Linked DNA regions of Mus musculus. The protein of the gene in region 1 binds, or shares a complex with, the protein of each later gene. Links are inferred from orthologs where the notes say so. Each region holds a gene or a part of one and is shown in the gene's direction. Other genes may lie near its edges. The genes, in order: Tfdp2, Mybl1, E2f6, Lin52, Lin54, E2f1 and Mybl2.

Region 1 (4,092 bases):
TATTACTCACTACGTGAACAGTAAACTCCTGCTTTAGGCTGGGGAGATGGTACAGTGCGTAAAGTGCTTACCCCACAAACATGGAGTCCCTGAGTGTGGATCCCCCTCGCCCACATAAAAGCTGGTGTCCCAGGCTTACTATAGCCCTAGCTGTAGGGCAGGGTGGGTGAGGATAATGATAACAAAGACAGGTTCGCCAGGGCTTGCCGGCCAGGCAGACGGCAAGCATCAGGTTCAGTGAGAAAACTTGTCATAAAAAAATAAGTGGAAAGTAACAGAGGAGCTTTGAAAATATTTTTAACAATTTAAATAATTGACACCATTCACTTTAGCAAGTAAGAGATAGTACTTTTCAGAGTAGAGCGTTCATTCTATCTTACCCTTCCTCTGGCAGAAGTTAGAGGTACACAGAGGATGAGATGAGTCCGGCTGTGGGTTAGAGCTGCAGCTCTGCCTGCTCTGTGGAGCAGGGTGGAGGAAAACCAGCTCTCTCACCTCTCTGCCCTCCGCTGCCCTCGGCTGCGAGAATACTTTTCAACAGTCCTGTTCATTGCATCGTTTTATTAGTGTGAGCTGCTGTTCTTGGGGATCAGCAGCTTTCATTCTTTAAATTTCTTAGCCTCTCTTGAGATCTCATTGCTTCCTCCACAAAAAAAAAAAAAAAAAAAAATTAGGGCCAGCAAGATAACTCAGTAGATAAAGGTGCTTGGCTGCTCTTCCAGAGGTCCTCAGTTCTATTCCCAGCAACCACATGGTGGCTCACAACCATCAGTAATGGGATCTGATGCCCTCTTCTGGTGTGTCTGAAGACAGCTACATATATGCATTAAATAAATAAATAAATAAAATGGATTCAAGAACTAAAAAATTAAAATCAGTTATTTACTTTATAATTTATAAAAGCTAGAGATAAATTCACACAATATCTAGCCCAGTAAAATGTTATGTGTCAAGATTATTATTCACAGCCACCAACTTCAGAAACCTATGTCAGGAAGGACTGCTAACTAACATCCTAACACCAAAGTCTTCACAACGGCTAACATCTCTGGAAGCAACCTATAAATGTCAGACTGTAACACATCTCGGCAATTACTTTCTAAAGCTAGTCTCGTCTTTTATGAGGGAATATGAAATTACCTTCTTAGGTTGAAGGGCTTCAGCAGCTGAGCGTGTAGCACATAACCTCAGGAGGTTGAGCACAGGATTGGGATAAGCTGGTCAGCATTGATCAACCAGGAGAACTGCGTAAGAGACTTGTCTGAAAAACAATTTAAATAATAAAAATTAAAAAATAAAGAGTGTCAGGAAAATTGGGAACCATTGACCTTAGCAGATTATGGGCACTGTTCACCCAGGCTAGAATCTATTTTGGTTCTGTGCCTTGGGTGGTCGCTGACTCATGCCTTGCCTGGCATCCATTCATGAATAGCTTGTACACGCTTGTTGTTTGAGGTAGGTCACTAATCTTGTCTGTCAATTGCTTTGTGAAGCAATCTTACCCTTAATTAGCCAGGAGGCTTTCCCACAGTGAAATTAAGTTTACAAAGCCATCTGCATTATATGGAAGGGATGCCTGAAATCAGCCCTCTGGCAAGGTACCCACTTCAGATGAACTTTAAGCTTGGTAACGTATTTTATTCAGACTCATATACTTAGCATTTTGCTTCAAGTTATAGATTTTTCCTGGTGTAAGATGTAGTAAGATGAAATCTCAACTTCACATGATTTTACTAGAGAATTCCATAACAAGGTAAAACTCACTACTTGAGGCCTGAACTGGAAGTCAGTTAGTTCTGTCCTTCCACAGAATATGTCCTGGGGATCAAGCTTCAGCTATTTCTTGCTGTCCCTATCTTTGCTTCTTGATTGTTGTTCTGTATAGCTAGACATCTGAACTGACTACCTTTCAAGGAAGTCCTGATTGGTGCTGTGTACTTTTTATATGGTAATTTTTATTTGCTTGTGACAGATTCTCACTCTGTAGCCTAGGCTTCCAAGTGATGGTATTTCAAGTACAAGCCACCCTGCTCAGCCCTGTGACACTGACAAGATTTATTCTTTAGCTTCTCAAGACAGGATTAACTGGGTTTGGTTTGTTAAAAATGTCTTCCATTTAATTCAAGTATGTTTAGCACAAGGGCCTCAAGTCCCAACTATCTAGAAGGATCTCTTGAGTCCAGGAGTTTAAGTTTAAACTACAGTGTGGTACAACCCATCTTAAAAGAAAGGTCTTTATGCTTGACAGAAGTATGCTGTGTCTAGCCTGTGACTCAGGAAAATGAATTAAGCATCCAAAATGGTTCCTCAAGACCAATCAACCAGTCTGTTAGAGATACAAACCAAGTTAGAAAGGCTTTTCTCTATAGCAAAGCTGTAGACAACTTTGGAGAGTACTGTCTCTAGGACAGAGTTTCTCTCTCCCCTCGTGTAACATTACCGGGGCTTTAGTGGACTTGTGTGGCCAGCTGACCTGGAAAGGTTACGAAGGCTTTGCTTGAGAATGGCCGTGTGCCCTGCTGCTGTTCTAAGTGCTCTTTATGGCGGCTGAGCTTAGGCTCTTGTTCCATTATTTAAGTGCAGAAAAGGCTGGGGTATAGTTCAGAAGGCTTTTGTCAAGCAATCATAAGGCCTTGGGCTCCTTCCTTGCACCACAAAAAGTAAATTAAACAAAGCATAGGATATAAAATCTGTCAGAGTTTCTCTGTAGCACCAAAACCCTCAAACCTCCTTTATTTCTTAAAGACAAACTGATGATGTGTTTAGGGTGTGCGTGTGCGTGCGTGCGTGCGTGCGTGTGTGTGTGTGTGTGTGTGTGTGTGTGTGTGTGTGTATGTGTGTGTGTACATGTGATCTAAGCACTGAACTCCCTGTCTGGCACCTTGACCTCCCTCACCCCTGTACCTGCTCTGTTTTGCAGATTTGAATACCTTTTTAATTTTGATAACACCTTTGAGATCCACGACGACATAGAGGTACTGAAGCGGATGGGAATGTCCTTTGGTCTGGAGTCAGGCAAATGCTCTCTGGAGGATCTGAAAATCGCAAAATCCCTGGTTCCAAAAGCTTTAGAAGGCTATATTACAGGTATGCTAGCCACACTAACAGATCCCTGACTGAACCTCTCACTCACTTGTTAAATCTTCACACAGAATGCAGCAATTTAGAGACTCAGGACTGGCTTCACCAGGGGCATCCTTTAGTACTTTTTATAGTTAAGTTTGTTACTTGAAAAATGGAACCCACATCTAAACATAAGGTTTATGTATCGTTATATACAGCTGTACCCAGGGGACCCAGGCTAGTTTAATATAACCTATGCTTTGACTGTGGCCTGTCACATGAGCTCCAATTTTACACTTTTGGCATTATGTCAGTGCTTAGAAATTTTCAGATTTTGGAACATTTCAGATTTGAAATTTCTCAATTTGTACCAATTCCTTCCACTTTATAGATGTACCACAGTTTCATCCATTCATCAGTTGGTACACATTAGGTTCTTTAGGATTTTGGGCTATTTTGAATGATACTACTTTTAAACATTTTTATGGGCTGATGAGATGGCTCAGCCAGTAAGAGCACTGACTGCTTTTACCAAAGGTCCTGAGTTCAAATCCCAGCAACCACATGGTGACTCACAACCACCTGTAATAAGATCTGACACCCTCTTCTGGTGTGTCTGAAGTCAGCTATAGTGTACCTATATATAATAATAAATAACTCTTTTAAAAATTTTTATAAGCATTTTGTTTTATAAACATATTTTTGGCTTTGTTGGAGTAAAACTTGGATTTTTTTTTAAGTGCCAAATGGTTATTACAATGACTATACCATTGTACAATCCTCCTAAGCAATGTATGAGGCTTCTGGGTTTTGGTTTTTTTTTAAACATCCTTCTCACTATCCTCCCCACCCCAGTTTGGTACTAGTGATTGACTGCATGGCTCTGCATGATAAAGATACAACCTACCACCAAGTTCCTTCCAGCCCTGTTTGTCCTTATAGTTTCACACTCTGGACATGAAGTGGTAAATCATGGTGATTTTTATTTAATTTCTCTAATAATTCAAGGCCGATTTTCCTAATTCTAAC
Region 2 (4,092 bases), on another chromosome or scaffold:
CATTCTCCACTGTACTGTTCAGACACCTTCTGACAGCCACTAGGACTGCAGATCTTATCTTAGGCAATTTCATATCTTAACTCAGAATACATATCCTCATGCTTCATAGCTATAGTCTCTATGTAGTACTTATAGTAACTAATATGCTTTTATATGCATTCCTTAATCTTTGTATACTTTAGAAATATGTAAAGGAAACATTAATGCTTTGTTTCATAGGAAATTAAGATGCAGTATTATATTTTCTTTTGTCCAAGTTACTATCCCTGGGCTGTGAACTTCTGATATATTCAGTATTTTATGCACCTTTTTACTCTGTGTAGAACCTCACTTAGTGCTTTAACAGAGTGGGTTTCTAGTAAGTGTATATTTTATGCAGAATGAAATTTATACTACAAATAGCTTTAGGTTCATCTTTATAAAAAGAACCTTGGGCAAAAAGGGAGCTGATGAACTCATTGTTTAAAAATATAATATTCTGAGAAATAGTTAAGAATATTTGAAATCTGTAACTTGTACTTTTCTTTTTCTTCCTGTCTCTTCTTAATGGAATTGAGGATTGACCCCAGGGCCTCATTCATTATAGACAACTAAACAAGCATGATTTTTTTTTTTTGTTTTTTGTTTTTTGTTTTTTGTTTTTGTTTTTTGGCAGTTTGGGTTTTTTTTCCCATTTCCTGTTGCAAGGCCTTTGTACTTGGTATGCCTTTTATCCAGAGGCTCTTTCTTTTATTTTTTGTTTTTGAGACAGGCTCTTACTATGTTGTCCAGGCTAGCCTTGAATTCCCTCATCTGTTACCTTCAGGCAGATGATCCTACGCCTGCCTTTTTTCCTGTTCTTGTACTGGCAGCTCATCTCCTCTTTGAGGTCTCGTGGCTAGAGATCTTTCTGGTCCACCTATCCAGACTTAACCCCACTGCAATGATAATCTTGTTTTTTATTTCTTTGTTTTTGTCTTTCTTCTGTGTTACTATGCTTTCAGTGAGAATTTAACCTCGGTGACACAAGGGACTAAATACTCAATTTTACCAGTTGTAAAAATATGTCTTATAAGCCGGGCTGTGGTGGCCCACGCCTTTAATCCCAGCACTTGGGAGGCAGAGGCAGGCGGATTTCTGAGTTCGAGGCCAGCCTGGTCTACAAAGTGAGTTCCAGGACAGCTAGGGCTAGACAGAGAAACCCTGTCTCGAAAAACCAAAAAAAAAAAAAAAAGTCTTATATATTTGTTCAAGTTTGTGCTAAAATTTGTAGAATTCCTTTCCCCTTTTAAAATTATATACTTTCATTTCTTAGGACTGATAATTCTATCAAAAATCATTGGAATTCTACCATGCGAAGAAAAGTGGAACAGGAGGGCTATTTACAAGATGGAATAAAATCAGAGCGGTCTTCATCAAAACTTCAACACAAACCTTGTGCGACTATGGACCATTTGCAAACCCAGAATCAGTTTTACATTCCTGTTCAGGCACATATTTTTAATATCTTTATTATTTAAAAACAAGTTCTTTAGTTGCTATATGGGAACTATTGGATTGGGTTGGGCTTTTTTTTTTTTTTTTTTTAGGACAAGTAAATTTTGTTTTGGGGAGTGACATGGATAGACTTAAATTTCTAATCTGAAAAAGTAAGCCATAATTTTGACAAATATTTTAGTACAAATTTCACTTGAAAGTTTCCTTCTATATGTGATTTCCACATTGAGAAATATAGTGCGTGCATATAATAGTACTCTTTAATTCATTTCATTTATGGACATAAAGATGTGCTTTAACATCTATGTCATTTCTCCTCCAACATTGTTCTGTGTAATGTAGTATTGCCTATCTCACAGGTGTGTACAGAGCAGTCTAAAGGAGAAGTAGTAAAACGATCATGGAAACAGTCCTTTGGGAAACAGTAAATAGCTGATCTTTGATCTTGTTACACTGCTCTTTGCCTGAGTGATTTAGCCTTCATTTAGACAGACTCATTAGAGGTTACCCAAATTCAAATTCAGGGAGCTCTCTGTCTTGTCCCCTACAACACACATTTACCCACCTGTAAGAAATATGTTTAGTGATCTTCATAAGACTTGCTTTCCCCTGTCTGTATATGTATTTATAGTAGACAGTTCTTAGTTCTTTTTACATAAAATGTAAAAGGCTGTTAGGACCAAGTAGTATCTCACAAAAGATAGACTTGGGCACAGTGTTAAAGTCTGCTTCCTAAGCCTCAGGTTTCATTTCATTCTACTTTTTATGAACATTACTAAGTTCTTTTAGACTTACTTTTAAAAGAAACAAAGTAGTCACATCTTAATTTATAAATAGGAAAACATGGGACTACAGCAGTGTAGTTAACTGCTGTCATTTGACCTTAAGGATTTTAATGTTTTGTTTTTAAAACATTTTCTTTAAAGTTTTAGATTTCAATAGTGTAAACAGCAAGGTTTTGCTTCTGTCTTAGAAAAATTACCATTTAAAGTTTTTTTGACTTACAGAAAGATAATTTTAAAAATTACTTGTTGCCAAGGGAGTGTTTGACAATCTCAACCACAGTGTGTTGAAGAGGATAAGGGTAGTGTTTAAAATATTAAGAATTGTTTCCCATTTAACAATTTTGAAAACTTTATATAATTTAAATTTTAAACTATTAAGAAGATAATTCTAGCCTGGCAACTTTGGCGCATGCCTTTAATCCCAGCACTTGGGAGGCAGAGGCAGGCGGATTTCTGAGTTCGAGGCCAGCCTGGTCTACAGAGAGAGTTCTAGGACAGCCAGGGCTACACAGAGAAACCCTGTCTCTAAAAACAAAAACAAAAACAAAAATGGATAATTTAGTTTTTCTTAAGAAGTGTGAAGAAAAAATATGTTGGTTTGAAATACTGTGGCAAATTTTCATTGAAAACTTTGAGAAAAATAAGTTCCTAATCTATTGGAGCTTCCAAGTTGAGCAATAACTGATCCTAATTGAGTATTGTCACAGCTAACCTCTAGGTTAGAGCTCAGATAGAATGATTTTTGCATTAGATGATGATTTAGGCCAATATAGAAAGTAGACAGATTATACTTATTTGTATTTGATTGCCAGATTTTTTTTTACAAACATCTCATACATTTTATTAGTGCCCCTAAATTAAAATAAACTTTACAATTTTTATTACCAATGTTTTAGGAATGAGGCAGTGATACTTAGTGTGCTGTCAGAGTGTCTGTTAGGACTACATGCCTGACTCTGATTGGTTTCTACTTGAGTAACAGAAAAAGCCCTCTTTTCTTTTTTTCTTAGAGATTGATAGTAGGTGGTGATAAGAGTATGAACACAATTTATTATCTTCTGTAGGCATTAGGGGAGCCCTCAAAAGCTGACTTTTTAAAACATATGGTAGATGATGTTGGTAACAGACAATTGGCTGATAGAACCAGGACTGGAAGCCAAGTGTGGTGATATATACCTGTAATTTCAGCACTGGGGAGGTGAGGGCAGGAGGACCAGGACTTTGAGACCAGTCTCAGCTATATAGTTAGCTCCAGCTTGCTTGGGCTTCAAGACAAAACCCTGTCTCATAAAATCAAAAGACAAAAATACAAATCTAAATGTAGGTTATTTCCTACACTTAGGGTTTTATCAGTAGATTCTAAGGACAGATGATACAATTATTAAATAAAAAACTATTGTAGTTATGAGTTTTCAAAGTTGCTAGACAATATTCAGTCTCCAGGTTTTTGTTTTGTTGTTGGTTTTTTGTTTTGTTTTGTTTTTCTGATACAGGAGCTCAACATCTAGCCTTGAGATTTTACAGAGTTCTGTCTGCCTCTACCTCTTAAGCATTAAAGGCATGTGCCATCCTTCCCAGTGTTCCACTTTTAATGGACATTTTATCACAACCTTTCTTGACATCAGATTCTTAAAAAAACGTATAACCTCTAGCAATACTTTACTTCTTGTTTCAGATCCCTGGGTATCAGTATGTGTCGCCTGATGGCAATTGTGTTGAACATGTTCAGACATCTGCCTTTATTCAGGTAAGGCTAATTTGTAACAGAACCACAAAGGAAGATAGTAACCATGTGTTGCTTACCTATAATCCCAGTTTTTGAGCTGAGGCA
Region 3 (3,736 bases), on another chromosome or scaffold:
CAGGTTTTCCCTAATTTGTGAGGTAGTTCATTTCTGAAACAGAATACGCTGTGACCAAATTAGTGTCTGTACTCACCACTCTGTGTAGAAGCTTCATGGAGCAGGAACCAGAAGAGGCTGGCCCTCTGCACCTGCCTCTCCCAGGCCCCCAGCTGGCTGTCCTGCTCTCTGTGACTTTCAGTGTCCTCTGTGAGTGTCAGTAATTCTGAGTTGGCCCTGAATTCCTGCCCGCCTCCCTGCTCTCCGTGGCAGTGAAATCCTATTACCACAGGACAGGTCTTAGAAAATCTGAGCCAAGGCTTGCAGTGCCGCAGCCAGCCAGAATCTGTAGTCTAAAAGGAAGGAAGGCAGAGCAACTGCACCGAGTGACCGCTGTATCTGCCAACACGGGAGCAGCTGAAAGGCAGTGTTCAGTCAGTGTTCTTAAAGGAAATGTTGGCTGCTGCATGGCGGCACCGAGAGCTTCCTGGGAGCTCTTCCTGTTTGCAGACGTGGTTTCCCTGCCTTCTGGAGGACGCTCACCCAAACCGTGACTGTTTACCTCTCAAGCTCTCATAGAGCTAAGTAACAGTGAGTGAGAATTTACACTGAATGCACTGTAGCTGGGGATTTGATCATAGTGGGCTCCCCTTTCCTGTGGCTTTGCTTTCTGTAATCTCTGCTGCAGCTATCATCTAAAAATATTAAGGAAAAATTCTACAAGTAACTTGTTTTTAAATAATTTGCGGTCTGCTGTATGTTATAATTATACTCTTACTATTGATTTCTTACTGTGCCTGGTTATAAATTTAACCTTACTGTGGTACTGTATGCACAGTCTATGTATGGTTTGCTGTTAGTCGGTGGCTTTGGGCATCTGCTGGGGATTTGTAACATCTACCCCCAGCCCCACCCCAAGGACAAGGGGATATCTACCTTCATGAGTAGTATTTATGTTCAGGATTCGGGCTTTATTAATGTTTTTTCTCCAGAAATTGCTGTAATCAATATTTGGTTTAAAGAAGTTCTTCGAATTACAAATACATAAAACACCATAAAATCTTAAGAATTCTTTTTGAAATAATTATTTTGAAGCTTTTTTTTTTTTCTGTTTCCCTTCATTGTAAGGTTGTATTCCATAAAAGCTAAGCTATTCTTATACCTGCATTCATGTAAGAGATAGTGATGTGTGTAGTGGTGCACGCCTTCATTCCCAGCACTCAGGAGGCAGAGAAACGCAGGTCTCTAAGTTCAAGGCTAGACTGGTCTATGTAGCACAGGCCAGCCAGTGCTAAACAGTGAGACTTTGCCTCCAAAAACAAAACAAAACAACAACAACAAAACGAAGGACGGTGTTGTGGGGTGGTGATCTGCCCATCTTGTCAGATCCTTGACCAGGTCTCACACTAGCGTATGTAACCTATCAGGATATTCACGGCATTCAAGCTTTCCATGAACAGATTGTCATTGCAGTGAAGGCTCCAGAGGAAACCAGACTGGATGTTCCAGCTCCCAGAGAAGTAGGTAGCGCTGCACTGCAGAGAGGGCTTAAAAAGGGAGGAGGTGGGTTGGCCGCCACAGCAGTGACCACCAAGTCACTTGTTACCATGTGCTTGTCAAGCTCTACACCTTAACTGTGAGTGAGGTAATCCCTGTAACCTTGGAGATGGGAGGGTCAGCCCAGAGAGGCAGGAGTGCACACAGTGACCACCAGGACCAGTGTAGGACAGGGTGGCTTGCAGGCGCTCTCAGCCATGTTGCTGCTGTTGGGCTGTAGGAGCGATCACACTATTGGCCTTGGGCTTCAAATTCAAAAAGTAATAGCTGGCCCAGCCAGAGCACTGGTGAGCTCGCCGAAGCCTAGGAATGAGCTGGAACACTGAGTCACAGATGTACAGCCTTCCTGAGATCAGCCTTGGTGTCGGCTGCTGCTAGCTGCTCCAGGGAAGTTTGCGTTGAGTGTGATTGTCACCAGAAGGTCACTTCGTGAGAATAGGGTCAAAACCAAAGCCGGTGACCCTTCTTAGCACAGACCAGGGAGTTCTAACAGCCCGGTGTCCCCCAGCTGCTCGTACCCAGCTCTTCATGGAGGTAGTGAGGAATAGTCACACCACCCTCCTTTCTGTTGTCCCCAGCAGAACACGGTCCAAGTGAGACCCTGTTACCTGACAGTGGATCGTTAGTCATGAAGGAGCACTAGCTTTTCCCTCAGCCACATTCAGGTTGTGACTTGGTGCCGCTCCTTAGTTTGATTTGGATTTAGACAACAATCCCAATAACATATTGAGGATGAGTTATTCCACAGATGCTGAAACCTTTTAAATTAAATAGCCACTAATCTTGAAGCGCCTCTTTTCTTTGGGGCATGGCTAATCCATTCTACAGGAATTAATGGGGTTTGGTTTCCCAGTGCTCTGAGCTGCTTGACTGTAATTGCTAAATCGCTCTGAGCCTTTGAGCTCACTCAGAGCCTCTTTTGGTCCCATTAGAACTCTGTGATTGAGGTCCTCCAGGCTGGCTGTTCTCAGCAGTGTGCTGGGTCAGTATATTCTGACTACAGAAGGCTGTAGTGGGGACTGTGTGCCTAGTATAGGGCTGGCACAGTGGCCTTCAACTCATCTGGCTTCCTACGGCTTTAAGGATCTGCTTAGATATCACCCATATGCTTTTATGCTACCGTGGCAGAGTTAAGTAGTTGTGACAGGGACAACGTGGCCCGATAGGCACCATCTCCTCCATCTCCTTTTTAAATGTTTTTGAAATCTTACATGTATGTGTATGGGTATGTGCACGTCAGTGCACATGCCCAGGGAGACCTTTGCGTTAGCTCCCCTGGAACTGGAGTTACAGATGGTTGTGACCATCCTGATATGGGTGCTAGGATCCAAATCGGATCCCTGAGAGGGGTACACACTCTGAACTGTGAGCCACCTCTTAGTTCCCCAGTAATCCCCTATACAGAATGATTCAGTGGCTGGTGGACTTTGAAGTCCTTTCCACTGACTAACAGTTGGGAGCAACATTATTTCCTTGCATTATTTAATGATGAAAGGTTTCCATTTAAACCAGGCCTGCCCTGACACTATCTAGCCTCCAAGTACAAAGTTGGTCAGTCTGTCTCACCTGTCTGGTACCAGGAAGGATATAAGAGGCTTAGAGCTCTCTAAGAAGCAAATCACACCCAGCTTGCTTGGATGGGATCCCAGAGCAGAAAGGAGCTGGAGTGACAGTGATGTCTAGACTGGCCTCTCCATGTGGATGTGGGAATGGTGGACTGGAGGAGAGCGAGGCCAGCTCCCAATGGGAAAGACAGGAAATCACAACTGAAAAAATGCCCCTTACACATTTAGCCTCTAAACACAAACAACCACATTTTTAATTTCTTAGGAGAAAACCATTGGGGTTAATAAGACCCAGGCAAAAGGATTCATTTAGTGTAGTTCCTTTGTGTGTGATGGTTCAGATTACATGAGGCTTATTTTGATTTCATCTTTTCCTCTTACATCTTTTGACTGGACAAAGACTAGCCTTCCTGTGACCTCAATGCCTCTGTAGTGGTTTGGAAACCCAGACACCTTATTGCATAATACAGTTGGTACTCCAGAGCTCCCAACACCAGAGGAGAAGAACTTCTTTGGAGGACTTTGGAGCTTTGGAGAAAGAACTCGGCTATCCGTGTGGTAGCTCCAAGACTGTCGCTGCTCACATGATGAAGCAGAGGTCTTAACTGAATTGGCCAGTGGTTTAGAATGTAGTG
Region 4 (4,092 bases), on another chromosome or scaffold:
CTGGAGCAGACCAAACAAAAGCAGAGAATTGTGCTGAGAGATAAGTCTTCTGTGGAGAGATAAGTCTCGGCCCTGTAGAAATGGTAGCAGCCATCGTGCAAAGGCCAGAATCCATGGAATGCTACACAAATGTAAACTAACGAAAAGTAAATAAGTCAAAGAACTTGGGTTTGTGGCATTGCAGTTTCTTGAGATGGAGAAGGTTGGGTAAGTGGATTTTGAACATAGCGCTATTAAGGGGTTTTCCCTACGTGCAAATGGAGAGGGACATCAAGGAGCCTCTTGGACAGGAGGACAGGTAAGCCTTGAAATAGGAATGGTCATTGGTATATGATGGTGGAAGTTGTAGAGAGTAGAGCCAGCACAGTCTGAGATCTGAGTGGAGCAGAGTGAAGGAGGAGTCACTAAGAGGAAACAAGCGCAGCAGTTTCATGAAAGCATCTCATGCTGTGGGAGGTCATAGCAGGGACACATAGAAGTGGGACGGTCTGGCAAAGGGAAGCTTGATAACAGTAGTTTCAATGCACTAGGGACTGAACTAAGAGTTTTATAGGTTAGAGGGTGTAGGTCCTGGGGAGATGATACATTGTAGGTAAGCAGCTAGCTTTGCAAATATGAGGACCTGAGTTGGAAGCCAGGCATGGTTGTACCACCAGCTCTGTGGGTGTGGGGAGGGTATGCCCAGAAACAGCTGGATCCTGAGAGCATGCTGGCCAGCTAGCTTCTTAGTGAGCCACTAATAGACAAAATAAAAACATTTAGCATCCTTTTTGGTGTTTATTGTCATATGCCTATTTGTAGACTTATTACATCCATATATGCATGTGTGCATGCACACACACACACAGAGTGTGAGGTGTGAGAGTAAGGACAACGGGATACCCAGGAGGGAGGCTATGAGTTTAAAGGGAGAGTTTGCATGTTTCTGTGTGTGTCTGCACTCAGACATGCATATGGATACTGGTGCATGTGTGTACATACATGTGGAGACTTGGTTAACATTAAGTATAGTTTCGCTCTTTCTCTCATTTGTTTACTTATTTTTATGAGACAGGGTTTCACTATGTAGCCCTGGCTGTCCTGGGTCTTACTTTGTGTACAGGCTGGCCTCAAACTCAAAGATCTACCTGCTTCTGCCTCCCTTGTGCTGGGATTAAAGTCATTCACCACCATCACACAGCAAAGTGCTCTTTTAATAAGTGAAAAGGGAGATAAATTCTAGATCAGGCTTGCTTGTTGGCTCTGAGTCTAAAATAGAAACTTCTGCTACAAGAAGACTGTCTGAAGTGCTTATTAAAGCTGAAGACAGTGGTCTACAGTCAAGATTATCTTTGTTGAGAGCAGTGACACTTAGCTGACTGTAACTGGAGACAAGTTGAAGAGTGTAGGAAGACAGGTGGGTTTGCTGACACTCTTCTTTACAAGGGGTTTTGCTGTAGTCTGGGCTGGTCTCTCAATGCTCCTGCCTTAGTCTCCCAAATGCTGGGATTATATGTGTCAATCACCATGTCCACCTGATACCCATTTAAAAAAAAGTTTATGTGTATAGGTATTTTGATTGCATGTATTTCTTTGTACTACATGTATGCTAATTGGAATTATGGACAGTTGTTAGCTGCATGAGGTGCTGCGGATTGAACATAGGACCTCTGGAAGAGCAATCCATGCTCTTAACCACTGAGCCCTGATTTACTTACTTACTTACTTTCTTTCTTTCTTTCTTTCTTTCTTTTTTTTTTTTTTTTTTTTTTTTTGGTTTTTCGAGACAGGGATTCTTTGTATAGCCCTGGCTGTCCTGGAGCTCACTTTGTAGACCAGGCTGGCCTTGAACTCAGAAATCCTCCTGCCTCTGCCTCCCGAGTGCTGGGATTAAAGGCGTATGCCACCCCGCCTGGCTGAGCCCTGACTTTCTTTTTCTTTTTCTTTTCTTTTTTTTTTTTTTTGTTTGTTTGTTTGTTTTTTTCTTTTGAGACCTGACTTTCTTAAACACTTATTTTAATAAAGTGGAAGTCTGAGTTTTGATGAGGGAGAATCAAATTTATTTGTATTACATCATGCCCCAATAGGGCTTCAGGGAATCAATAGTTGAGACCTCTGAACTTCTAATTGAGTGTTTCAGGCTATGTTCTTTGAGATTGAAATATAATAAAATGAGAATGAATGCATTTCTCATCCCATCTTGGTGTTTGGTTCTAGGGACGGATTTGGAAGCATCTTTGCTAAGTTTTGAGAAACTTGACCGTGCCTCACCAGATCTCTGGCCAGAACAGCGTGAGTTATGACTTTTCTCATAGTAGAATTGACGCAGGAGAGCCGGCGCTCCCTTGGGAGAATTTTATAGTGTTATCATGGATCTGATGACTAAAATTTTTATTTTGGTTTAAAGAGAAGAGATTGATGTACAGTAAAAATAGGGACTTAGTGGTTTAACTTTTCAGAACATTGCAAGAAGTGATAATGAGCTTTTAAACAAAATTATAGTTTTAAAACGATATATCTGAATTTCAGACAATACTGAGATGCACAAAGCATTTGTTCATCTCCTTTAGTGAAATAGTTAAATATTGTTTGTAATTTTATTACAGACTTGTTTGGACTTTTTTATACGTGTACAGATAAGCATATACATATGTATGTTATGTATTGTCTGCATGTATATCACACAGGAATTTTTGGTTTTCATAGTGATGATGTAATATGTATAGAGCTTTCAGCTTAACTTATTTCAACAGGAAATTTGATGGATCGTTCCATGTTGATCTTTGTAGGTCTGCTTCATTGTTTTATGTATATTACAGTGGACAGGTATATTCTAGCTTCTATATTCACATTCTATTTGGAAACCTAACTTACCTCATTTGTATTTCACAGGCAGTGTATCAGTGAGTATCCTTGCATATCTATCCTGTATGTAGAAGAGGATGACTGCCCATTTTCTCACTAGCCAGTGTCACTCCTCATTGTTATGTTTAACTTGCATTTCTTTTAGGTTAAATTATATTCATTATTGGGCTGAGGGAAGCAGCCACGTGCCATGACGCATGTGTGGAAATCAGAGGACAGCTGGTCCGAGTCAGTTCTGGCCTTTTACCATAAGCCTGAGACTCTACAGTTCAGGTTGTTGGCTTGGTGGCAAGTGCCTCTCTCCACTGAGCCCCAGCTTGTATTTCTTAGTTAACAGAATTGAACATTATTTCCCTCTACCTTTGTATTTTAGCTGCTTTGCTTTTTAATGTGGTAGTATCCATGAGGCATTTGCATAAATAAACCAAACAGGACAACTGAAAAGAATGTTTAGCTTATTTATATTACTTATTTATTAGTAGCCCTGGGGTTCAAACCAAGGTCATGTGCATGCTAGAAAAGCACTCTATCCTTGGTCTAAATCGCTAGCTCTGGAGAGGGGGTTAAAACTGAGGCGAGAGATAGCTTACTGTTCTCAGGCCCAGTCCTGGCCCTTTAAAGCGGGAGGCAGTGGTTTCTCAGAGAAGCTTCTTCCGCCCCTTCGCTCCCATGAGAGCTTATTTGTTTGTTCTTGTCTTCCTGTGACACCTGATGCTTTTCTGAAGTGCTTAAGTGATGCTGATAATATATGCTCTGTCTTTTTCTAGAGTGTAAGCTACTTGAAGGCAAGATTTGGTTTTCAGTTTTTTAGGTTTTTGGTTTGTCCGTTTGTGTTTTGTTCTTTTCAGACAAGGTTTCTTTGTGTAGCCATGGCTGGCCTGGAACTTGCTCTATAGCCCAGAGTGGCCTTGAACTCACAGAGATCCCCCTGTGTCAGCCTCCTGAGTGCTGGGATTAAAGGTGTGCACCACCACCATCACCCAGCATTTCTTTATTATTTAAGTCCTCAGTGCCTAAACACAAATGCTTCCTACATGAGTAACTTTTTTTTCTTTTTTAGTACCAGGTGTCGCTGAATTTGCAGCTTCTTTCAAAAGTGTAAGTAAAACAACTTCTGTCTGTGGAAGTTTATCCAAAGTTTGCTCTTGGGTAAAAGGCTCAAATCTTTATTTTCAAGACTAGTGTCATAGTCTTCTAATCCTTTTTTGACTTTAGACTTTTAAATATGTTTAGATTATCAGACTGCTA
Region 5 (4,092 bases), on another chromosome or scaffold:
TGCTGGGATCAAAGACGTGCGCCACCACTGCCTGGCTGATCACTGCGAGTTTAAGGCTGGCTTTGAATACCTAATGAGATCTTGTCTTAACAAAAACGGTGCTGGGCGGTCACAGTGGCACATAGTTTTAATCACAGCTCTCAAGCTAACCTGATTGATATTGAGTTGTAGACCAGCCATTGGTACATAGACAGACCCTATCTCAAAGAATAAAGAGGGGGAGGGTAGATGTGCTGGCTTGTCTTTAATCCCAGAAGTTGGGCAGTAGTGGCAGGTGACTTTGTAGAAGTTCAACACCAGCCTGCTTTATATAACTTCCAGGCCAGCCAGAGGTACATGGTGAGACCTGTGTACGGAAACCAAACAGAAGAACAAAGGTGAAAACTGGAAAAAGAATTTACAAGTAGGCTAGAGAGATGGCTCAGCAGTTAAGCAGTTACTGAATTTGGTTCTTAGTACCCACACAATCACTTTATAATTATATGTAACTCCAGGTCCAGGGAATCTAGTGCCCCTATGGCCTCTTCAGACATTAGGCACGCACATGAGGAAAGAAAGATCTAGCAGAGTCAGCTGGGTGCAGTGTCCATATCTGCCATTCCAGCATTCAAGAGGATTAACTTGCTAGATTCTATAGAAAGGACAGAGTTTTCTTTATTTAGTTAACTAGACATGGACTTATCGAAGAAAATGCAGCTCAAAAGCAATAGTTAAATTGTCCAAGAGTTAAGTGTGAAAACAGTGTGCTTTGCCTTTTATGGCCTTCCCCATCACACTGAAGCTCAGCACTGTGGTGCAAGCCTTAAACCCAGCACACAGGAAGCAGAGCCTGGTAGATCTCTGTGAATTCAAGAATAGCCTGGTTTACATAGTCAATTCCAGGACATCCAGAGCTATATAGAGAGCTCGCTATCATCTCAAAAACAACCAATATATTGTTTTGGGAAATAGTAAAAGAGTATAGTGCATTCTCTTTGTTGTTGGTAACCTAGGAAGCCTTAGTGTGCACATTGTTGCTGAGGTGGAGGTGTTCTGGATAATCTAGGAAGCCTTAGTGTGCATATTGTTGCTGAGGGAGAGGTGTTAGGCTGCAAAAGCAACCTAACCATGACACTTAATGAAGTCTCTTCAAAAGAAATTTGTCTTCAGAGAAATAGAAGCTGTATTTAGACATTTCTCCTTACAAAAAACCATTATGAATTGCTTTTGTTTCTCATGAACTATAAACAAAATGCACACCCATTATTAGGTAAATGAATGAGCCAAAACTGTGGCCCCTGATACCAGGGATCCTGCTGTGGTAGCTGGAGAAGGAGTTTCATGAAGTGTGGGGCAAGGGCACACTGAAGTAGGAGGGCCATTTTGTAAAACAAGCTAAAAGGGAGAGTTCTGTATTCATTACTTGCTGCGTGTACCCAAAGTCTGGGTTTTCGAGATTATTTTTTGTTCTGTTTGTATTATTTTGCAGCAGGGTCTCAAGTAGCCTAGGCTGGCCTTGAATTTACTCTATAGCTTAGGATGGCCTTGAACTAGGGACTATCCTGCTTCCCTTTTTCAGGTGTTAGGATTATAGATGTGGGCCGTCAGCCCTAGCTTCAGTCTGTGCTTCCATGTAAGCATACTTTATATTTTTACATAGGCGAGCACACTGGTTTATGGATGAGTTACTGAAGGGCTTGGGAAACTGGTTCAGTGGAGGAGGAAACAAGAGTGCCTGAGATCTCCTTTCCTTTGTCCTGATGAGATAAGGTCTCACGATCTTTCTGCCTTGTCTGTACCAAGCCCAGCTATGAAAACTTTTAAATGTGCAATTGTGAGTTTATATACGTGAGAGGTCACAGTCATGTTAATGGTGATTTCATTGAGTAGAATCTTAGTGATTTTAAAAATATTTTTATGTCTTATATTCATTCAGGAGAAAATGTTAGTCCTACATGGGTCATCAGTGGGAGAGAGTGGGAAGGCCTGAGGTGAAGCACTGTTCTCAGTTTAATCCTTGATTTACCCACAGGCATAGCCATTGTGAGCAGAAACTGCTTCATCTAAGATACCTGTTGACAAGCTAATGCTATTATTTTTCTGTTGAGGAATCTACTTACTGTGATATTTTCTGCTTTTGATTTGGAAACTTTTCTTTTGTAAATCTTTCAGGCAAAAATAATGTGTTCTTCTATATGCAAATGCATCGGCTGTAAGAATTTTGAAGAAAGCCCAGAACGGAAGACATTGATGCACTTAGCAGATGCGGCTGAAGTAAGGGTCCAGCAGCAGACAGCAGCGAAGACCAAGCTGTCCTCTCAGATCTCAGACCTCCTTACAAGGCCAACCCCAGCTCTCAACAGTGCAGGAGGGAAGTAAGTCAGCTTCACCCGGAACCTCTCTCTAGCTGATGCTCAGACGGTCCTTGTTAGTAAGGGTTCTTCCTAGGGTGACAAAGTTAATTCCGCTCTCTAAGCTGTTGCCAACCTGAATTTTCCATTTCCTTCCATCTCACTTACTGGGGCTGGAGAGATGGCTCAGCGGGTAAGAACACTGACTGCTCTTCCGAAGGTCCTGAGTTTAATTCCCAGCAACCACATGGTGGTTCACAACCATCTGTGATGAGATCTGATGCCCTCTTCTGGGGTGTCTGAAGACAGCTACAGTGTACTTACATATAATAATAAATAAATAAATCTTAAAAAAAAAAAAAGAAGAGCTACAAATATAAAGCCAGACTGAGCCACAAAGTAAGATCCTATCCCTAACAATAAAAAGGGAAAAAGCAACCCTAATAAGCAAAGCATTCTGAACTGTTTTGTGGGTTTTCTGAGACAGGGTTTCTCTGTGTAGCCCTGGCTGTCCTGGAACTCACTCAGTAGACCAGGCTGGCCTCGAACTCATAAATTCGCTGTCTCTGCCTCTCAAGTGCTGGGATTAAAGGTGTGCGCCACCACTGCCCGGCTTTTTTTTTTTTTTTTTTTAAGATTTATTTTTTATTTATTATATGTAAGTACACTGTAGCTGTCTTCAGACACACTCTAGAAGAGGGCATCAGATCTCATTACAGATGGTTGTGAGCCACCATGTGGTTGCTGGGAATTGAACTCAGGACCTTCGGAAGAGCACTCAGTGCTCTTAACCGCCGAGCCATCTCTCCAGCCTTGTAGCTCTTCTACCTCAGCCCCAGAGACAGACAGACAGACAGACAGACAGACAGACACACACACACACACACACACACACACACACACACAGTAAGTGCACACTGTAATTAAAGCTATGCTTTTGAGAAATTGTATACAGCTGGGCAAGATGGAGCTGATTGATCACCAGAACACACGTCAGAAGGCTGGGTGTGAGCCTGAGACAGGCAAATCCCAGGGCTCATGGGCTGACTTCGTAACCTCCTAGGTGAATCTCAGGCCAGCTGCAGCTGAGCCCTTCCTCAAAAGACAAGGTAGACTGTGCCCAACGAGAACCATCCAAAGTTGTCTCCTCCACTTGTACCCACACGTACACGCACATGTTTACTTTCTCTCTCCCTCCCTCTCTCTCTCTCTCTCTCTCTCTCTCTCTCTCACACACACACACACACACACACACACGCACACACACACACACACACAAATATACTAAGAGAAAGACAAAAACAGTAGGGTGATACCAGCATGCTCACCTAAATTTGTTGATGTCTTTTTCCCCTCTCCTTCCCATTTTTTAATAATACGAGCATTTTTGTTATTATTACTATTATTTTACAATTTTTACTGTTTTGCTATTTACTATTATTACTAATATTTTATTATTATCACTAATAAGATAAATTATATAATATTCTTACAGTAAAACATTTCAACCTCCCCCCCAAATTTATAGTAATAGTTTCTAAAGTGCCTTTTTAAAAGTTCAGTATTCCAGTTACACGTGTGTGACAATCTGAGGTTCAGTTACTCTTGGGCCTTAATTTCTGACTTGGTGGAGTTTCAGTGATCTGCTAGGGCTGCTACAGGATGCTGTTAGTCCTTAGATTGTTAGTTACTTGAGCTAATTTCTCTCAGGCTTTGAAACTACTTGGCTACCCTGTAGCAACTTCATAGACGAGTCTGTTTT
Region 6 (4,092 bases), on another chromosome or scaffold:
GTGACACTGTTGTTTTATTACACGAATCCCTGGCTGGTCGCTGTGAGTGCTTAATGCTGTTGGGGATTGAACCCAGAATTGAATGCACGCTGAATAAGTGCCAGGCCCCAGTCTTGTTTTTAATAGTTCTAAAATTTGCTGTGAGCCATGTGTGGTGGCTCCTTTAAAAGCCCAGTACTTAAGTGAGGTCCAAGGATCAGGAGTTCAAACAGTACGTCATTCACATTGCCCAGAGGAGGTAACCGTCTGCGCTGGCTCCCCCACAGACGCGCTCCTGTTTCTGAAACACTCTTAGAAGCTAAACTGGAGAACAGCTCCTGAGATTTCTAGTCCAGGAAGGGACCATGTATGTGTTAGCCTGTCACAGTGGTTTCCTTGTGTGTCTGAGCAGATTCTGTGCTGGCCTGGGCCTGCCTCGGTCTGTTACTGAGACTACATGCTGTTCCAGGGGCTGCATAAAGCTTTTGTGCCCTTCCTGTGTGTGTGTGTGTGGGGGGGGGGGGGGGAGGGGGTTGAATCATTCAGCTATCTGTATCTTCACCTATGGGTTTTAGGATCTCAGTGCTAGGGTTGTCTAAAGATGAGTGACAGAAACAAGCATCTCTTTGAGCTCTTACTTTAAAGCATGCCTTTGGGGATGGACAAGGGTATTTGGGGCTGTGTCAGCCCATGGGGTGCATATACTTGGATTTCTCCCTGGCTACAGATCTTCTAAGGTGGAGGCTAGCATAGGTCCAACAATCAGATATGAGTTTGCTGAGGAAATGTATGGGATTTAGTTACCACCCTGCTCTGGCAGAGACAGCAGAAGCAGTGTCTGCCAGTGTATGATCAACTGAATCTCATGCTGTCTTCTTCCTTGGTCTGCAGGAGTCTGTGGCAGTGTGAGGGTGGGGACATCTAGTCAGCACACACATACTGACTGACACTGAGGCTTGTGGCACACAAGGATGCAGAGGTTTATTGGTCCAGTGTCCAGTGACACTTTCTCGGTGGAGGTGGTAGGCAGGGAGAAGAGACACATCTTTAGTAGTTTGTAATGGATGGAGGAAAAAGCCAGGCTTGAGGCAGTATATAGAGAGTAACGGCCCTCTGAAGCCACTGATCGAGCATTAAGGGTCCTGCAGGAGGCAGCTCTGGGTGTGAGGAGGGGCATAGGATATCCTTAGAGTGGGGATTGGGAGAAGCCCATCTCCACAGTTCATGTGAGGAGTGCTGTTGGAAGGCTTTACTGAGGCAGAGTGATGTAGAGGGAGAGCAGCATGGGGACAGCTGTCCTGTCCAGTGGGAGGGTGATAATGGCTGTGGGAGGAATTCTTGGCAAAAGAATGTGACAGGTGGTGGGCCAGGTTGAGAGGGTTTAGTTGAGAAAGGCCTGTGGCTGGTGTGAGGATAGCGAGTCTGGTCCAGTTAGTGTGTTTTGAACTATCCCTGGGACTTCAAGGTCCGTCCTTCTTCCCAATACTGTGAAATTAGAACTCTTATGTTAAAGGGCATGGAGATTAGCAGCTTGGGGTCTTTCTCAGAGAGACCTGGGTAGGAATTGTGGCTCTGCCACTTGTCCATAGGTTGTAAAGCGGAGCTGTTATGTTGCCAGTTCAAAGAACAGAGTACACTGAGCACAAAGCTGTTGTGAGCTCCAGCTGCTGCCATGGTTATAGATACATAAATGAGTTAAAAACTAGAGGCAAGTTGCCTGGGGGACCTGTCCCCTCCCTTGGTGGCTTAAAGCACTTGTATAGTCTCTGTGGGTCGGGACTCGAGGGAGATTTAGCTGGTGCTTCCAGCCTGAGATGGAATCCTGTTGCAGCCAGAAAGCTCCCTGGCTGTAGTCGCAAATGGGCCTAAGGTTGTGGGGTTTGTTCCAAGCTTGCTATGTTCCTCCTACCTGGAGGAGTTCTAGCTCTTTGCCAAAGGGGCTTATCTTTAGGGCTACTTGACAGTATGGCACAGCGCTTTCTCCCGACCCAGCACCTCAGAAGAAGCATCACTGTCCCAGTGACCAGTCTCAGAAGTGACACCATCACGCCCAGCTTACGTTTAAGGGGAGAAAGTTAGCCCTTATCTTTGAAAGCCGAAAGCCTGGTGGCCTGTGCTTGGAAGCCCAGTACTTGGGAGGTTAGTGGCAGGAAGATAAGAAATTCAAGGTCATCCTTGGCTACATAGTAAGTTTGAGGCCAGCCTGGGCTAAATAGACCTTGTATTTGTAGGAGCTAAGGAGACTAATTGGTAGATTGTGTGGTAGTGTTCACGGGCCTTTATTAACCTCTAGCATTACAGCGATGATTTCTTCTTTGCTGGTGTGTTTAAAAAACACCGTCAGTCCTAGGGAGGTAATGTTGGACATAAATTTTGAACCAGGGTCTTCAGTCTTGAGCTTGACTGATTGGAGTGGTAGGATGCTAGCCTCATGCTGTGTCCTTCAGAATCTGTCTCTGCTCGCACACCTTAGCATCCTAACAGACATCAGACTGGGGTTGGGATACCAAGTCCTTAGCTAAGTCTTCTATGGTCTCAGTCCTGGTTATTGGGCAACTTTCTGTGTTTCTGCTACAGGTGAAACGGAGGCTGGATCTGGAGACTGACCATCAGTACCTCGCTGGTAGCAGTGGGCCATTCCGGGGCAGAGGCCGCCACCCAGGGAAAGGTGCCATTGACTCCAGCTTCTCAGGCCCAGACTGGGGGAGGGGTGTGGACATGGTTGTACACTCTGGGGCCCCAGTAGGCTGCCCAACAGGACTTCCTCAGGCCTTGGAGGTGGGGAGTTGCCCAGCTACAAGAGGAATGCTTTGGTTGGCAGACAACAGCCACAGAGCCTTTCTGCTTAGCCTGAGGGGAGGGAGACATTTGCCTCATCTTGCCACTCACTCTACATTGCTAGGGAGACAGGCCTGTTGGGGGCAGGCTGAGTGTTTGAGGACCCCCGCCTAGCCTAACCCCTGCCCCCCAGGTGTGAAATCTCCGGGGGAGAAGTCACGCTATGAAACCTCACTAAATCTGACCACCAAACGCTTCTTGGAGCTGCTGAGCCGCTCAGCTGACGGTGTCGTTGACCTGAACTGGGCAGCTGAGGTGCTGAAGGTGCAGAAACGGCGCATCTATGACATCACCAATGTCCTGGAGGGCATCCAGCTCATTGCCAAGAAGTCCAAGAATCATATCCAGTGGCTGTAAGTACTTACCAGGCAGGTGGGCAGGTAACAGCCAGACCAAGCCAAATTGCTTGCAGTGGCTTCCTGCATTCCCCACAGCTGGGAAACCAAGGTCTTAAGAGAGTTACCTTCCCCGGGGTGATAGAAGGGGAGGAACGAGCAAGTCTTGCAGATCCAGTTCCCTATAGCTGTACAAGGTTTCCCGTGTGAATGCTTGTGAGCGCGCGCGCGCGCGCGCGCTCACGCACACACACACACACACACACACACACACACACACACACACACACACATGCATGCCTTTCTGAGGGTCTCCTGTTCCCTCTCCCATGGTTGCCCATTCTTAGACCGCTGTGCTGACACCATTCCAGCTTTTGCTGTCATCATTGAGATCGGCCTTATACATTTGTGGTTTTGTTTCTACTTCTCTGCTGTACCTTCTGCCTCCCCAGGCATCCCGCTGCCTTCTCTGGCATATCTGCTTTGGTTTTTGATAGATGATTCTTCATTCTGTATTGTTTTCTTTTTACTTGATAGTGTGTCTCCAAATCGTTTGTATCTAATTCAGCTGTGTCATTCCATGGCATGTTTGTGCTATTGTTTTCTTACCTGGCTCCTTGGTGGGTGTTTGTTGACTGATCAAGCATTTTACTGAGCCCGTGCCAGTCTTACTCTAAGCCTACCTGGGGAGCAGAGCCACAGAGGAAAAGGAGCTTGCCAGCTTCTCACAGAATAGTGGTGGCAACAGATTGTCTTGAGGGTTAGGGCTGATGGATGGGTTGGGGGCGCAAGGACTGCTAATTCTTCACTGGCTTCCCACAGAGGCAGCCACACCATGGTGGGGATTGGTAAGCGGCTTGAAGGCCTGACCCAGGACCTGCAGCAACTGCAGGAGAGTGAGCAGCAGCTGGATCACCTGATGCACATCTGTACCACACAG
Region 7 (4,658 bases), on another chromosome or scaffold:
CATTTGCCCTTTCCTTACCCCTTTCCTTACTATAAACTCTAGAACTACAGTTTGGGGAAGTCAGTGCCTCAGTTTCTCCATCTGCTATCGGGTAATACAAGCATATAACTCATTGGGTTGTTATGAAGATCAAAGGTTTCTATGAACTGTTTTTGTAGGTGAGGAAGCAGGCATGGAGAAGTTTGATAATTTGAGATAATGGAACTAGGGAAAGGTAGGCTGGGAATCACCCCCGAGGAGATCTCACTGTAAAGCACACTAGCCGTGAAGAGCAGCGATCCACATGAACTCCTTTGAAGGGAGAGGGGTGGGGGGAAGCCTTGAATTAAGCCAGGTGAAAACTTGTAGCTTTCAAGTCTTCATCCTTCTGTAGTAAATGAAGTTTTCGGAGTTGTACTGTCTAAAAGGGGCCAGCAGTTTTTGGAAAGAGATCTGAGGCCTGAGCCTAAAGGGCATTTGGCTGGGGTTCTTCCAGGCTCCTATCCTTTCAGGGAGTCCCAGTAAGATGACACTCAGTTTTTAGGTAGTAAATGACAACCTGAAAGAGACAACCCTTGCCATCAGAAATTGAACGTAAGCCAACAAGCCTTCCCCCTGGGCTTAATACATTTCCTAGGAAAGGCTGCTGGGATCCCAGAATGCTCACAGTTCAGCAGAGGAAATGCGCACAAATGCAAGCAGATGGGCAGGAGACCCCAGTCGGGGAAGATGTGGGGAGTTCCTGGTCCAAATACGGCCCAAGCAAAAGCTGCAAGACTTAATTTCGCCTCTCTGTGTCTTGGCGTGGTGATCTGGAAGGCCGTTACTAAATGGAGTTACAAAGATTTAACCCGGACAGAAGAGAGGTTTAAGTTTGGTGAGAGAAATGTTGGGATTTTGAGCTGGGTCTCTCTGAGGCAGCTGAAGAAGCAAGAGGCTTGCAAAGGAAAAGATACAAACCCAGTCAAAGGGAGCATGGGGGCTCTAGGGATAGTGGCTTGGACCGTCCCAAGCAGTGACAATTTGGGCGGGAAGTTTCTCCTATTCAGTTCTTCCAGTCTTTGCTATGTGTGTGGCTCGGGGTCTATCTAAGATTCACACAGAGCCAGGCCTCGCGCCTCATTGAATCCCTAAGGTAGGTGTATCTGGACACAGTAGATTGCCAACTAACAGAGCATCTGCCCGCTTGCACATTCGGTTTCTGCCCTCCGGTAAACCACTCCCCTCTTCCCCATGCTTGGGCTCCGCCCCTACAGTAGGCCCCTCCTAGGGTTCTGGCGCGCGGGCTCCGCCCCTCGTGTCTTGTACGCTTCGCCCCTTCCGTATGCTCCGCCCCTGCGCTCGCGCGCCAGGGCCGGGCGGCGCCGACGCACTTGGCGGGAGATAGGAAAGTGGTTCTGTGCGCTCCCTAGGCAGCTGCAGTTCCTGGGAACGTGCGACCAGACCTGCAGACACGCTGACGCCTGAGAGCACCGCCTGGGGCCCGGAGCGGCTCGAGCAGCCTGAGTCCTGACCCCGGCCCGGCTCCCGCTCCGGGCTCGGCCGGCGGGCGTAAGGGTGCGGCGGGGTCCGGGCCGGGGGGATGTCTCGGCGGACGCGCTGGTGAGAGGCTGCGGGCGCGCTGGGGTCCTCTCCCTTCTCCTTGGGTCGGCAAGCGTGAGATGGGGATCCCCGGGAGAAATGCACCCTGCGCCGCCCGATGCAGGGGCGCGCGCCACGTTAAGAGGCTATCGGGACCCCCTCGCTCGGTTCCTGGGCCTCCTGGGCCCGGGAGTCTGAAAGCGCGGGTTCCCCCTCTAGACCGGGTCCCAGCCCTGGGTGAGGTCCATCATCTCCCGCCTAATTGCAGGGTGGGGAAGGAAGGCTGTCGCTCGCGGTGTCAGCTGGAGGCCCATTACTGGGTAGGGAGAATGTCTCCCCTTGTCGCAGCGAGTGGAAGGCAGAAGCCTGGGAGACACTTGTCGATCAAGAGTGGCTCGAATTTGCTGGCGTTCCTTTCTTGTTAGCATTCCGGGAAGCACAAAGCCCCTGGGCCCTCCGCGGGATGCGAGACGGGGAATTCGTTGTCTCATGGGGTTTCGGCGGCCGGTTCGGTTTGGTTTCAGAAGCCTTCTTCCTGTCCCACGCTAGTTTTGGGCAGTTGGGGATGAGTAAAGACTATTGGTGTGCAACGAGACTGCTCTGCTAGCAGCCTCTGAGCCAAAGGCAGGAACTGGGTTTCCCTCTTAGTTCCCTAGAGGTTAGGTGGCTGGGTCAAGTCTGGACTTTTGGGACACCTGTGTATCTGGGGCCTAATCGCGGGGCTTTCCAGCCTTTCTAAGGCGTGGGATAATTGGGTTCTGCTGTGTTCCTTCTGGGTCTTTCCAATTCAGAACGCCTTTCCACCGTCTTCAGATGGCCGAACCTGGCCTAGGATGAAGATAAGGCACAGAGATGCCTGCTTGCTTACTTGCAGAGTTCTTCGTGGCTGGGTTGGGTATTGGTTTGGTCTGTGGGTGCTGATCAGGGTGGCTTCCCATGCCCCGGTGTCTAGGACAGTTCAGTGCCCAGGAAGGGCATCTGGAAGTACTAATCCCAGAGCCCCGGGCTTATCTGAGGGTCTCTTTTGTGAAGTGTGGACTCTGTGCCCCTGCATCCTCACGAGCCTTTCTCTGCCACATGGTGTGACTCCCTGTACCCCAGTGGCCCACTTCCCTCTTGGCCTCTGACTCACCTTTCCCTGGAGCATAGCCCAGAACGTACAAGGGCAAGAGAAAGGGTATGTGTATATACAAAAGTGTGACTTTTCTTTAAACAGCACACTGGCCTCTGCTTTTCATGCTACGGTTCCTAGGGAGGTTAGGGTGTAAAAATGTGGAGCTTGGTGTGACATAATCGTTGTCGGCCTCACTTTTCCCGTCTGTTAAATGGAGCCCTTGAGAATGCGCAAGAAGGTGTGTGACTGATGGATACTCCCATCTGTTTAATAGTGTGACCATGCCGGGTAGCAGCAACACATGTCTTTAATCACAGCACTCAGGCAGGTGAATCTCTTCAGTATACAGGACAGCATGGTTTGCAGAGTGAGTTCCAGGGCAGCCAAGGCAACATAGAGATACCTATCTCAAAGGACCCCCGCCCTCCAAATACTGTCACTATTACACAGCACTGAGGCTTCAGGCTCTCTTACACAGAGCCTTTTCCCTAGGACACCGGCTGAGCTTCTAATAGAATCTGGGCCTCGTGCTGGGTTTTGGAGAAGCAAACTCAACTGATAATGTTTAGTAGATTTTGCCTCCTGCTTTACAATGGTAGGTGGGGCGTGCATTGGGTCAGCACTGACAATACAAATCTGCTTTCTGGATTCTGTGACGCGTATTGCTAGGCTTAGGAACTTCTTTTCGTTTTCGTCGGGATTTTTTTTTAGAATTGTTTCGTAGGCAGCATCTTTGCAAGTATCCATTCATTCACAAATCCACTCCTTCCCTGGGCAAATATTTCTTTAGGCCTTTTCTGTGCCAAATTCCAGGATGTGAAGTTGGAGCTGACCTTTGTGGGTGAAGTCAAGAGCAGAGGTTGGGGCTGAGGGCTGGACCTGGCTTTCCAGAGTGCTTGTATGTGTGTAGGAGTGACAGGGAGGGAGGCTGTGCTGAGTGTGAGGGAAGACAGGGAGGGCTGTGCAGACACCAACGCTGCACACTTGTGGGCACAAAGTGTGGCTCGTCTTGCTCGTTTGGAAATCTCTACTCTTCCCAGTTACATATGACTGACTAACCTTTCGTATTTGCTCGAGGTGACCGAGTGCAGGTCCCGGGGAAGGATTAACCAAGTTCTGTGAAAAACTGGTTGTTTGCCTTTCTCCCTTAGTTATGTATCTGTGGGTGGTTTTGTGCACTTGCGTGTAGGTGCCCACAGAGGCCAGAGTGGCTGGACCCTTCTGGAGCTGGGAGGTTGTGGGAAGGGTGCTGGAGGCTGAATTTAGGTCCTCATCAAGGGCAGTATGTTCCTTAGTGGAGCCAGCTCTCCAGTCCCTAACTAGCATTCATAGTGTGATCTCCTTCCTCAAACCATCAAACTAGGCAATAGGATTTTGATAGCAGGTAAAATATTCCATGTTAGCCAGGTGATAGTGGTGCGTGCCTTTAAACCCAGCAGGGAGGCAGAGACAGGCCGATCTCTGAGTCTACGATTGAGTTCCAGGATAGCTACGGCTACACAGAGAAACTTTGTCTTGAAAAACAAACAAAAACAACGAAAACTTCCATGTTAGTTTTTTTTTTTTTTAAAGCCTCCAGACATCAAATAATTGTATTCTGAGTTTTATGCTCTCCCTTAATTGTGCCCACGTGCAGTCAAGAATTGGAAAGAATGAACAAAGTTAGGCTTGGTGTGGTGGAATAGGCCTTTAATCCAGATAAAAAGAAAGGAAAACCTTGGGCTGGAGAGGTGGCTCAGTGGTGAAGAGCACTGACTGCTCTTCTAAAGGTCCTGAGTTCAATTCCCTGCTACCACGTGGTGGCTCACAACCATCTGAAATGCAATGCCCTCTTTAGTGGATTTGAAGGAAGTAACAGTGTACTCACATAAAATAAATGCATTTTTTTTAAGTTAAAAAAAAGAATGGAAAACGTTGTTGAGGACAAACTTAAGATGCTTGCAGTGTTGCATGTTTGATGACAGGTTATCCTTTTATTTTTAAA

The links.
Region 2: Tfdp2 (region 1) and Mybl1 share a complex: the UniProt entries of both Homo sapiens proteins name them as parts of the DREAM complex. The link is inferred for Mus musculus from reciprocal best matches to the Homo sapiens genes TFDP2 and MYBL1.
Region 3: Tfdp2 (region 1) and E2f6 share a complex: the UniProt entries of both Homo sapiens proteins name them as parts of the DRTF1/E2F transcription factor complex. The link is inferred for Mus musculus from reciprocal best matches to the Homo sapiens genes TFDP2 and E2F6.
Region 4: Tfdp2 (region 1) and Lin52 share a complex: the UniProt entries of both Homo sapiens proteins name them as parts of the DREAM complex. The link is inferred for Mus musculus from reciprocal best matches to the Homo sapiens genes TFDP2 and LIN52.
Region 5: Tfdp2 (region 1) and Lin54 share a complex: the UniProt entries of both Homo sapiens proteins name them as parts of the DREAM complex. The link is inferred for Mus musculus from reciprocal best matches to the Homo sapiens genes TFDP2 and LIN54.
Region 6: Tfdp2 (region 1) and E2f1 share a complex: the UniProt entries of both Homo sapiens proteins name them as parts of the DRTF1/E2F transcription factor complex. The link is inferred for Mus musculus from reciprocal best matches to the Homo sapiens genes TFDP2 and E2F1.
Region 7: Tfdp2 (region 1) and Mybl2 share a complex: the UniProt entries of both Homo sapiens proteins name them as parts of the DREAM complex. The link is inferred for Mus musculus from reciprocal best matches to the Homo sapiens genes TFDP2 and MYBL2.

Annotation. Positions count from the first base shown.
Region 1 is NC_000075.6:96,307,602-96,311,693, forward strand, and holds part of Tfdp2 (transcription factor Dp-2), read left to right. Parts: intron 1-2,920; coding exon 2,921-3,087; intron 3,088-4,092. UniProt on the Homo sapiens protein: Can stimulate E2F-dependent transcription.
Region 2 is NC_000067.6:9,683,013-9,687,104, reverse strand, and holds part of Mybl1 (myb-related protein A), read left to right. Parts: intron 1-1,294; coding exon 1,295-1,469; intron 1,470-1,592; exon of another isoform or gene 1,593-3,819; intron 3,820-3,936; coding exon 3,937-4,008; intron 4,009-4,092. UniProt on the Homo sapiens protein: Transcription factor that specifically recognizes the sequence 5'-YAAC[GT]G-3'.
Region 3 is NC_000078.6:16,820,709-16,824,444, forward strand, and holds part of E2f6 (transcription factor E2F6), read left to right. Parts: intron 1-1,384; coding exon 1,385-1,499; intron 1,500-3,736. UniProt on the Homo sapiens protein: Inhibitor of E2F-dependent transcription. Binds DNA cooperatively with DP proteins through the E2 recognition site, 5'-TTTC[CG]CGC-3'. Has a preference for the 5'-TTTCCCGC-3' E2F recognition site.
Region 4 is NC_000078.6:84,454,045-84,458,136, forward strand, and holds part of Lin52 (protein lin-52 homolog), read left to right. Parts: intron 1-2,196; coding exon 2,197-2,271; intron 2,272-3,904; coding exon 3,905-3,942; intron 3,943-4,092.
Region 5 is NC_000071.6:100,444,786-100,448,877, reverse strand, and holds part of Lin54 (protein lin-54 homolog), read left to right. Parts: intron 1-2,151; coding exon 2,152-2,354; intron 2,355-4,092. UniProt on the Homo sapiens protein: Component of the DREAM complex, a multiprotein complex that can both act as a transcription activator or repressor depending on the context. In G0 phase, the complex binds to more than 800 promoters and is required for repression of E2F target genes.
Region 6 is NC_000068.7:154,562,973-154,567,064, reverse strand, and holds part of E2f1 (transcription factor E2F1), read left to right. Parts: intron 1-2,556; coding exon 2,557-2,647; intron 2,648-2,950; coding exon 2,951-3,170; intron 3,171-3,974; coding exon 3,975-4,092. UniProt on the Homo sapiens protein: Transcription activator that binds DNA cooperatively with DP proteins through the E2 recognition site, 5'-TTTC[CG]CGC-3' found in the promoter region of a number of genes whose products are involved in cell cycle regulation or in DNA replication.
Region 7 is NC_000068.7:163,053,268-163,057,925, forward strand, and holds the start of Mybl2 (myb-related protein B), read left to right. Parts: upstream 1-1,367; 5' UTR 1,368-1,561; coding exon 1,562-1,581; intron 1,582-4,658. UniProt on the Homo sapiens protein: Transcription factor involved in the regulation of cell survival, proliferation, and differentiation. Transactivates the expression of the CLU gene.